3 linked regions of the Xenopus tropicalis genome follow. The protein of the gene in region 1 interacts with the protein of each later gene in a biochemical or structural test. Links are inferred from orthologs where the notes say so. Each region holds a gene or a part of one and is shown on either strand. Other genes may lie near its edges.

Region 1 (4,124 bases):
ACATCCACAGGTTCAGCCTGCTTTGATTCATTGTGTGTAATTTAATAAGATATATAGGAACCTGGAATAGACACAGGGCTTGAGGAGGGTAGTGTTGTGCCTACACATGCAAATGACTGTAGTGGATCACACCTTAATGCATGTGCAGTGTAGCGGTACAATAAAAAGTACCTAGGTCCAGTGCATTTTTTAGAGAAGAAGAACACTGGCCATGGGGTCCTAGGTTAGAGTTACTGGTGGGTGACCAGTTTTTTTACCCCCCAGTCAGTTTGGCTTTCTTGTCTTTCAAGGCTTGGGGCACACTGGCATATTGTCTGCTGTTGCAGAAGTGTTTGATCATTTCCATTTGTCTTGTCTATAGCAGAGACAGACAGATTTTGTCTAGAAACAATTTTCTGGTCAAGCTCTGCCTGCAACCAGCAGTTCCATTCAATATCTATGAACTGAGTGACGGGCAGAATGGTCACAATCTAACCAGTGAGGAATAAACCCCTGTGCCATAGGCCAATTGGTGTGTCTGGGCAAGCCGACAAGCCACACAGGCTCCAGCTTGTACAGTGTATATATCTAACAACAATAGCTATTAGTGGGAGGAAGGACTACCAGAGAGGTAATAGAGGCACTTGGACACAATTAATGTGTGTCACCAATTGTGACAATGAGCAATGAGTGGCTTTTTTGGTGCTTCTACTGAGGCAAAATCTAGCAACACACCTTCTCCCAGGAGGCACCTATGTTAAAGAACTGTAAGCAATGATGGACAAAATTTTTTAATACGTCAGCCTTCAAGTTAAAATAAGACAAAAATGTCTCACTTTTGCTTTGGAGGACTCGTATTGTGTAAACTCCCTAAACGCGATGCTTGGGCCTGATACAGGAACACAGGATGGGGTATATTAATCATGTTATGCAAAAAGTGGAGTGATGCATTACCTGTGATGTTGCCCAGGGCAACCAATCAGCTATTAGATTTCAAGTTTCAAGAACACCAAAGCAAAACATCTCAATGGCTGCTATGAGCAACATCACCAGTAATGATTCACTCCACTTTTTACACAGCATGATAAATATAAGTATAGTCTATTCCACCAATCTACCTAGCCTTTGTGTTACCGACAGCACTTAGGCTAGCTATAGGACCGCAACACTTTCCCCGCAAAAAGAGGGGCTAATGTGAGCCGCACCGTATCCCCTCTTCTTCCCCACCCGAATGCAGCACCGCTCTTATACAACTCGCAGCTTATGCAATTGGCGCCTTTTTTCGAATCCTGCGTAGTGACGCAACGAGTCGCGTCCGAGCCACGTCGCGGCGGGTTCATTACGCCTGCGCGCAAAGCAGCAAGATGGCGGACAGTGCGGAACTGAAGGTAAAGCGCAGCTGGAATTGCGGGACCGGGATTGCGGTCTCCGCTATGTATTGGCAATTGGGAGGTCGGGTGTGTTGAAGCGAATGGCCGGGGGAACTCGCAGAAGCGGCTCCCGGAAGCAGAGGGAGTTATGTTGCATGTGTAAGGCAGAGGGGCCCTTGTTATTGTTGGTGCTGCCCGGGTGGAGGGGGCTGGTGAGGGCATGTTGGTTAGGCTGGTAGGAGGGCGAGGGTCCTGATGCACACACGGAGCGAGGGAATGTGAGCGGCGGCAGCCCGGGCAGGGCGCACGGTAGGGGCTGCTGGGAGCTCTCCCAAGGGATGAGTGAGAGGAAGATGCTCCTACTTGGTACTTGGTCTCTTTAATAAGCGATGTTGCGCGTCTCCTGTTGCTGCCCGACCCCCCAATCCATCACTACTGACAAGCGGCTGTCAGGGGATGTGCGATACTTTAATGAAAGGAAGTTTCTGCGCCGTGTGGACTTTATTCCGCTTCATTCGGGGATCTGTCGGCTCCAGGATACTTTATCGCACACAGTCCTGCCCGCTAAGCCCGGCGTAATGACGGGGGGGGGGGGGCTGTCAGGGTTGCCAAGCAACAGTTCTCATTTAATAACATTTCTCGGGGATGGATTCCTATCTTGTGCTGACAAATAAGCAGCGTTTATTCGGGATCTTAAAAACGTTTGGCTTGATGTTCACTTTGCAGAGTCCCGGGTTGAGCTGCTTGTTTCGGCTGATTCATACAGAGATCTGGGGTGCGTGTGAGGTGCTTCTATTTCTTATAAAATTGCTGTTTATTTTACGTTTATTTTACATGTCCCTATCTCCTGTCACCATGCTCAGGGATCCTCTGTGCCTGCTACCCTTCCGCTAACTCCCCTCCCCCACTCGCCTCCCCTCCCCCACCCTTCCTCTGCATGGCCCTGTCTCTCTCCCCAGACATCATGTTGCTCTGCTGATTGATAGGAAGTGATAGTACCTGGTGGGCTTGCATCCCTTGTAGAGCTGATAGAGGGGCTTCACAGAATGCTTTCTCCTCCAAGTTTCCCCTCTATGCATTGGGCACCGCTTGCAGCAAACTTTCTTCCTGCTGTACCATCTTCTCTTAACTGGGAGCCTGTGTGCTGTCTGATAAACACACAGATGTGCTGTACCGTAACTTGCATCTCTCAAAAATCCACTGTATTGGGATTCGGCTGATCCCCCAAATATTTCATGAAAGAATACTAAACCGAATCCTAACTTGCCTATGAAAATGAAGGCACAGAAGGTGTAAAAACAACCGCACGTGGTGAAAAATGTTCAACTTCAGCTTTTATATGGTGAAAAGTCACATAATTTGAAGGATTTGTTTTAGCCAGGCCCACAGATTCGGCTCAATCTTGAAGAAAAAGCCGGAATCTTGGCCGAATCTGGAACCAAATCCTGGATTCTGTGCATCCCTAGTCTGAGGCAAGGAGTTGTCATTTTATTGACTTTGGTATATCAAGGCTATGCATTAGTACTGTTGTACTATAGTAAGTGCTTAAGAATAGCCTGTTGCACCTGTATATATTCAGTGTACTTTGTAATTTTAATTGTGTAATTCATATATTTATACATTGTAATGTATGCATTTTAGATTGTGAGATATTGTAAGATATAACAGGCAGAGCCTTCTTTACCTAATGAATCAGTCAGTAATTGTGTGATTAATGTGTATACCCTCTCCAGACAGGAGTGAGCTGCATTGAAGCACACAGACCCACAGTATAATCCAATTGCTGGCCTGTCAGGCTGCTTTGATACTATGAATCAGTGGGCAAATTTGGCAGGCTATGTTCTGCTCTGTATCTGAAAGCCTGACAGGCTAAAGCTGAGCAAAGAATGGGGTTTGTTTACACAGAAGGCTTTCCAGTGGTGTGCTGACTTGTTTTGATTGTGCATGTAGGTATCAGGAATTAGAACACGCTTTTCATTTTTAAATTTTGCCCTGTGTAGCGTAGGAATATAAGATGATGGTATTTGCTGCCCCTTTTGAATGCATGGCTAGTTTTTATACTTTTCTCTGCAATTTAAGATGGCCATGATGACATTGAGGTGGACAATATCAGGCTGATAGCTTGGCCCTCGGCCCAACAATTGGGTCATAATTGTCACCATGTAGGCAGTCGAATAGAGGACCCAGTCAACCCACAGATGTGGCCTTCAATCCTATGGGGAAATCAAACCTACCTGATTGACATATTGCCTGATTTTTGTCCAGATATCGGTTGAGTAGGCCCTGTCGTGGGGACCCCATACATGGGTGGATAAGCTGCTTATCCTGCTTGTCTGCTAAATTGGTGGGCATTAACTGGCATGATTCTACCATTTGAGGACACGATGTATGCTGCAATGTTTGGTCTGACCAAGCTAATAACTTTCATTAACCTCTATAGCTGTGCATGGAAAGCTCGCATACAAGTAATTATGTGCAAGTACTAAGTAGGGCCTGATTCTGACTGCAGTTCTGCCTCTGAAACAATAACATGACTAATATACTGGTGCTTATAAACAATCTGACATAAGTAGATGAATATATGCAGGAGGACTTAGGTATTGTTGTTCTAAACATTAAGAAATGCCTTGTGCATACTTGAGGAATTAGTTACAATGAGGAAATGAAGCATGGGCATAGTGACTATTCATCAGATGCTCATGGCACTAACATCATATTGTAATTATATGTTGGTAGTCCATTATGTATGCTGATATTTGGATTCTATATTTATGA
Region 2 (3,654 bases), on another chromosome or scaffold:
GAGAAATCTGAACCGGGGATGAAGGGTTTTCTGGAGTACCAACAGAACCAGGCTGCTGACCATAGTTTACATGATTGCTACTTTGTTGAGAGCGTTCTGATAATTCTTCAATATCCACTATAGAAGTAGAAAAAAAAAAGTTATGTTTTAATAAATACAAAAATTTTTTTAAAAAAAGAAGATTCCAATGAAATAAATAACTGTTTTTTATAGATATTAGCAATACAAAGTGCTGTGTTAATGTTAATTAATTTTCAATTATCTTAAAAGTACATTGAATAATTCCTGTTTAAAAAAGAAGGGGTACATGGAAAAACACAAAACTGATCCCAAAGCTACTGGGTAATTATTATCCAGCCAGACTACTGCAATGCTGCTTTAGACATGATAAACAAATTATGCAGGATTTTATTAGACACAAAATTTGACTTAATTTTGGCATCTGGCACATTAAGAGAAATAATTTTCTTAAATGGCTGTAGGGTCATTGCATTAATACAGCACTGACCTTGTATTTGAAAAGTTCAGATAACTGATGAGCCAGTTTGAAAATAGATTTGGCATCAAGTGGTATATCTGATTAATTCTGCTGTGGGATATTTGCAAGGACAAAGTTCAACCTATATTGAAAATAAAATACTTCAAACTAAAACTAACCATAAGTGGGGGAAAGAAGGAAGTTTAGATAGATAAAAAAGTGAATTCTGTTTCTATACCAAGATACAAAAATACAAAATTATTAGTAAAGGCATATGAGTTTCATGTATTAGTTTAAATATTATAAGAAACTATTTGCCAATTGTGCTTTATTACCAAGGACAATATATTATGCCTCATCATACATATAATAAAGTTGAAAAAAAAAGTTGAAACAGTATATTTCTACAGGCCTATGGGATAAGGATAATTTTATACAAGACTATTTGAGTTCTTTCAAGCTGAAATTAGTGGATCTATTCTATAAAAGAATCATGACTAATTGTCAGGCCAGGTACCCTTTACATATAAACACCTCATTTTTCAACTATATCTGCAAGCTCCTTTGTCTGAATTTTAATCTAAACCAAAGATGAGTTTTATTAACATTTTCACTCATATAAAAGTTTTTAAAAAAATAGTTAAATTAAAGTTTTTTTGGTAATGTAACAAGATAAAGAGCCTGAGCCTTAATATGGTTTGAAAAAAAGTTTACATTATTGCCCTTACATTATTGAACCTAATTACTATGAGCAGATTTTTTTACAAAAACATCCATATTTTGACAAGGTCTGCATACTTTAGTATTTGTTTTTTTTATAAAGACATTTTAGGAAAAAACAAATCTCCACCTTCCCCCCAGACCCACTATTTTTTTTACTGTTCTAATACATCTGTTAAAGAGAAGAAGACTGAACATAACACAGCACTTCCAACCCTGGACCTCCTTTTTTGGACAGTGAAACTAAAATTTTCATTGCCGGAGCAGGGTTCTAAAAAGTCACCCCATCACCACAGCATGAAAGCGCTTCCACACTGGGGTAACAGTTGCTTATTTTGCTTAACATCTATTCTGTAAATAATAAATTCTCAAGGGGGGGGGGGGCTCCTGGTCTATTTGAAAAATGAAAACTGGAAAATCCAAAATGTCTGAAAAAATAGCGAAAAGAAAAATTTACTGAATGGTAGCAAATGTTTAAATATGCTGATTCACAAATAATTTTTTTATCTCGCTTTCATATTTCTTTAATGTTATAACCCTCAGCCTTTTCAGTTTTTTTTCCTGCTGCAAACTCATTAATGCTGTGAGACTCGGAGAGCACATTTAAGTTGTTGGCAGCAGGAGGTAACACTATAATATTTTAAAAACTTTACTAAAACATTTTTGTAAAACAGATTCAATGTTGTTGGGTGCAATTTTTACCTTTAACAGGCTAACCCACATGTGCAATAAATGCCACTTATGTGAAGTAACCCATACCAACTGTTGATAGTTGTTTTAAACAGGTATTGGTTAATGCTCCTGGGCAAACTTAGTGGGGGGTCATTTCCAAACACTGGGCAAATTTGCACCTGGGCAGTAACTCATAGCAACCAACAGTGGTTAGATTTTTCCAGGCAGCTGTACGTTGAACACTAAAAGCAATCATCTGATTCATTGCCATGAGTTTCTGACAAGGTGCAAATTTGCCCACTGTTTATAAATGACCTCCACTGTTTCTTATATTACATAACTCAATTCATGTTAAAATAGTAGCTTTTTGGTTCTAGATTACCACTGTCAGCTAAGACACTCTGTTACACTGTTCAATTTGTATCAAAATATCAACTTATATCAAAATATAGTAGAGGCATAGAAATACATACAATACCGAAATACAAATATTTTCCCACCCAAATGTTTTTGTTTTTTTTTGCACAGTGAAAGAAAATGTAATCCTAAGCAACTCTCCACTATACAGTAAAGGTAAGTGAAAGGTCCCCTACATCTGTTTGCCACAGAATACTTCCCCCTTTCACTTTAAGAAAAAGTGAAGTAGATTGAGAGCAGGCGTCAACAACCCCTGAAACAATCCCTGACTTTGGTTACACTGTTTAAGATTCAGGCCCAGAGAACAGGGAAAAAAAAACCCCACTGATTTCAACTGCAATTACATTTACCTTTTAAACCATTAAAATATTTAATACATTTTAAGAGTGCTTAGTAAAACATTTTCTTTCATTATAAATGCAATGCAACATGGAAAAGGATGAGCAAAATACCAGTATTATCCAGAATACTTGGAATATGGAGTTTTACAGATAAGGGGTCTTTCTTTAATTTAGATCCTCATTCTATAAAATTATTTAAATAACCCCAATAGCATTGTTTTGCCTCCAATAAGGATTAATTGTATCTTAGTTGGAATCAAGTATGAGGTACTGTTTTATTATTACAGGGAAAATGGAAATCATTTTTAAAAATGTGATTTATTTAAAACGGAGTCTATGGGAGATAACCTTCCCATAATTTGTAGCTTTTTGAGAACAGGTTTCTGCAGAATGGATCCCATACCTGTATTGCTATATACATACTAGATCGCAAAGAATGAAAAATAATATTGCTCATCATTTTTAAAAATATAGTTGGCAGATTTTCTTCATACATTTACAAGAGTTACCCTAAAATGACATTTTTCATCATATGTCTCTTTCTCTCTCATTTATTCATATAAACAAGGGGCGGGTATGACTTGCTTGTTCTACCTACACTCGACAAAAAATCTTTTGCAAGATTATATGACCTATCAATATCTTCATTAAAGGCAATTTTGTAAAAAGAAAGACAAGAACGGTTTATAATTGGACAACAAAAGCAATCCTAACCGTTCAACTGTGATTGACAATATTGTAAGTAATGGCGAAGCAATCCTTTCAGCAAGTTTTCTATTGCTTACCCATCATCTCTTTTGTCTTCTTGAAATGTTTATACCACCTTCCAAATTCTTGACATTTTGCTGCTGAAACATTTGCATAGTAAGTGCTGTTCACAATGGAAGAAATCATACTCTAAAAGAAAAGGAAAAAAGAAATTATATCAAACAATCTGTAACAATGTAAAGCAAGCGCTGTAACACAATATCACTTATTAGAGGCTGACTTTAGCAAAAAAATGCCAAAATAACATTTCCTGCAGTA
Region 3 (3,654 bases), on another chromosome or scaffold:
GTGGAGGGGGGGGGGGGGACAGACCATACCACTGGACAAGAGATGGAGAAGATTAACTATACCAGACCTGAACTGGGCCAAAGCACCAGTCTGGGGAGGGGGTCCACCAGTCTTTCTTGTTTAAATATTATTGGCCCAACTGATTGTTAGCTTGCAAACCTACCCCCTAAAGTCACATCAAGCAACTGACCAAGAAGGTTATCATTACCTGCAATGAAAAGAGGGGGTCATGAAGCCATACAGACTGACAACTTACCTCCTTAGGAGTCTGGTGATCTGAGATTCTTTGCCCTTCAAACAAAAACCTGAGAGAATTCATTGGAACACCCTAAAAAGTGGAGAAAGTGCATAGTCAAGAATTAATGTAAACCTACCAAATTATGCCCAAAACATTCCATAAACTACAAATTATTAGTGTTACAATTCTTGACATGGTTTACTGGGTACAGGAACAGTATTGGTATTTTCGCCTTGTCTTAATATTGTTCAGCTTATCCACATACAGATACATGTAGTTCTTTAAGTGAACCACTGGTGTATCTTAAAATTGTTGCCACTGAAAGGGAGAGATAGCATTTTCTGCAGCAGAACAACCAGTTTTCAACCCTGTGCATTAACATAGTATGTGCTGGCCTTATCTTTAATGTGCGAGACCATAGCTAGACCACATGGTTTTCCCACCGGAAAGAGAACAACATTTCCAACTCAAGAAACAGAAAGCCAGAGCAGTAGATTCTATAATCTACTGCACTAAAAGGGTTGTAAACATGCGCAAATGAGCTCACTGCACAGGGCTCAGTCAAATATATCTAAGGTATGGCCCTTCAACAGTTCTTAGGCTTTCCTGACAGCCAGGGATGCTGGAGCTACTAGTTGAAAAACTGATGAAGTGTCACCTAAATGGACGTCAAGGGACCTTCATGCCCCAAGGAATATCAAACAAGAAATTCTTCAGCTTTAGTAAATTGCAACAGATGCCATGAAGTGGTTGCTGAAAAGAGCACTACAGTAAAATCAGTGCTATTGTTACATAGTAACATAGTAAGTTGGGTTGAAAAAAGACATACGTCCATCAAGTTCAACCATAATGCCTATACCTAACCTGCCTAACTACAAGTTGATCCAGAGGAAGGCAAAAAACCCCATCTGAAAAAGCCCATATATAAGGAGGCACACATTTGGTAGCTGCACACTGCTGGGAATATAATATACAGGTATAAGAGCGGTTATCCAGAATGCTCGGGACCTGGTGTTTTCCGGATAAGGGATCTTTCCGTAATTTGGATCTCCAAAAAGTCAGCTAAAAATCATTTAAATATTGAACAAACCCAATAGGCTTGTTTTGACACTAAGAAGGAGGTCTATGGGAGATGGCCTTTCCGTAATTCAGAATTTTCTGGATAACGGGTTTCTGGATAAGGGATCCCATACCTGTACTTGTGACACAAGCCACTGTAACCACTTTGTTAAAAACACAGTGGTTAAAACTTACTGATATGTTCTGAACAATTTTTAATTGTATTAACATGGACATTACATTTAGTTGGTGTACAACTAAGCTTTTTTTTTTAATCTAAAACTGCAGCTAGTACTTGTTTTTAGGGTATAAGGAAACACAAGGGAAAACCCAAGGCATTCTAGATAATCAGCCCCATGCCTGAATGGAACAACATAGCCATTATTTACACAGTAAATCTGATGGTAAAGTTCTCTTCCAGCAGAAACCAATGCAGTACCCTTTTTAAAAAAAGGGTTTTATTTGAATTTGTTACATAACAATAAAAATGTATTGACTTGTCAGACCTTTAACATTGTTAATAATACAGTATGTAGTGGTAGTACATTTGGTAGTGTGTTCAGTTGCTGTTTGCTTTCCAAGGCTCATCTTTATTATATAGGTCACATTGTTTACGAAACAATGTATTTTAGGAATTCCACAGAACTCAAAATGGTGGCAACAGAGTTATTACAGTACATTAATAGTTAATTGTTGCTGGTTGGGAGGGACACAAAAATATCAAATGGCAATGCAAAAAGGAGAAAGTAAGGGCCTATTATATATAGAGCAGGCTTTTTACTCCAAAGTGAGGGAAAATGAAATGCCCTCCATGCTTGGGACAAAGACATTATTCTTTGATTTACCCCTCTGCTCCTTATTGTGAAATTTTAATTCAAACAATTCATACGTGATTAAAGTACACATTGCAGACTTTAATTTAAAGTTATTTGCATACATTTGTATGTAGAATGTAGAAATTACAACACTTTATACATAGTCCCCTGTACCTGTATCAAGTACATTTATAAATGGTAGATTTTGGTCATGATTTTTATGGTATAGTTTTTATTACTATATTACACTGTTCTCACTGCAAATAATTGATTCTATTTGAAAAAAAAAAAAAAAAGCTAAAATTAAAGTTACAGTATGCATACTATGTTAATGTTTCCTTTATGAAAATGTGTTTTGCAAAGATAAATGCAGCCCTTCATTTGCCAGTTTCATAACTGTATTTTTTCATATATGTGGTATAGACTTACTAATATAAACAGTACACTGCCTACTGTAAATCATCTAAAGTGGTTCACAAACCTTTGATAAATCTGCTACTTCATATGTGTCTTCATACATGTTTAACATTTTAATTCCCTGGCATTAATAGCCGGTTTACTTACAAACCTTATTTAAAAAGACAAATTCAACAAATTTCTACTTACCTGTCTCTGACAGTATGACTCTTTCAGCTTTTTGAGATGCGTTGTCATCTTTACCTTAAAGTGAATTTCACTGCTATCCTGTGAACAAAATATTTACATGGTTTAAATTTTCATTCACTACTGGGAAACATTCTACTGATTTATGGTGCAAACATAGAGAAATATTTCATATTTCCTGTAATTTCCAAGTCACCTTCCATGGCAGCATTCACCAACATGAGTAATCTTGCCTCTCAGGTCACTGGACAGGAAAAGGTTAATTCTATAAGTACATCCCTTTGCCTGTCTCTGCTTGTCTTTGAATCTCAGCGACAGAAGAGAGGAAGGTCAGTGAATGCTGCCATGGAAGGTAACTTGGAAATTGAAATTACAGCGATTTATGAGAACTACCCTAGTAAGAGGGGTGGGACAACACTAATGCTCAACAAAATTTATTTTGAATAAACAACAGATTGCAGGATCTTCCTTCCCAACTTAGTAGCCAATGCTCTAATAGAATGAGCTTTCAGGTTATGTGGTACCTCTCTGCCTGCCAGTTGATAAGAGAGCACAATGCGTAATAAATCCAAGGTATTGCCATCTCCGCTCCTGCTCAGAATTTTGGCAAAAAGAAGGAAATGCTATTTCCAAAACAAGGTGAAACTGTGACACAATCTAATGCAGGAAATTGAAAGCGGGTTTTCAAAACAACTTTATCTGAGAACAGGCTCACTTCACAGAGTGGATTTCCCCAACTCTGCAGGCAGAAGTGATAGCCACAAGAAATAAAATTTAGTGTTGCATGCCAATCCGAAAAATGGAGAAGAGGTCAATCTTCCTAGCCCCTACCTCCAACTGCCTTAAAGGAGAAGGAAAGGCTAAGTCACTTGGGGGTGCCAAAATATTAGGCACCCCCAAGTGACTTAACTCGCCTACCTTTTACCCCTGGCTGGTGCC

The links.
Region 2: the proteins of pias1 (region 1) and satb1 form a complex in vitro, tested with the Homo sapiens proteins (2 studies listed by BioGRID, with this or other methods). The link is inferred for Xenopus tropicalis from reciprocal best matches to the Homo sapiens genes PIAS1 and SATB1.
Region 3: the proteins of pias1 (region 1) and sumo1 form a complex in vitro, tested with the Homo sapiens proteins (6 studies listed by BioGRID and IntAct, with this or other methods). The link is inferred for Xenopus tropicalis from reciprocal best matches to the Homo sapiens genes PIAS1 and SUMO1.

What each region holds. Positions count from the first base shown.
Region 1 is NC_030679.2:117,659,435-117,663,558, forward strand, and holds the start of pias1 (E3 SUMO-protein ligase PIAS1), read left to right. Parts: upstream 1-1,264; 5' UTR 1,265-1,343; coding exon 1,344-1,367; intron 1,368-1,390; exon of another isoform or gene 1,391-1,508; intron 1,509-1,983; exon of another isoform or gene 1,984-2,124; intron 2,125-4,124. UniProt on the Homo sapiens protein: Functions as an E3-type small ubiquitin-like modifier (SUMO) ligase, stabilizing the interaction between UBE2I and the substrate, and as a SUMO-tethering factor. Catalyzes sumoylation of various proteins, such as CEBPB, MRE11, MTA1, PTK2 and PML.
Region 2 is NC_030682.2:45,056,422-45,060,075, forward strand, and holds part of satb1 (DNA-binding protein SATB1), read right to left. Parts: intron 3,526-3,654; coding exon 3,414-3,525; intron 118-3,413; coding exon 1-117. UniProt on the Homo sapiens protein: Crucial silencing factor contributing to the initiation of X inactivation mediated by Xist RNA that occurs during embryogenesis and in lymphoma.
Region 3 is NC_030685.2:52,306,043-52,309,696, forward strand, and holds part of sumo1 (small ubiquitin-related modifier 1 precursor), read right to left. Parts: intron 2,797-3,654; coding exon 2,719-2,796; intron 329-2,718; coding exon 257-328; intron 1-256. UniProt on the Homo sapiens protein: Ubiquitin-like protein that can be covalently attached to proteins as a monomer or a lysine-linked polymer.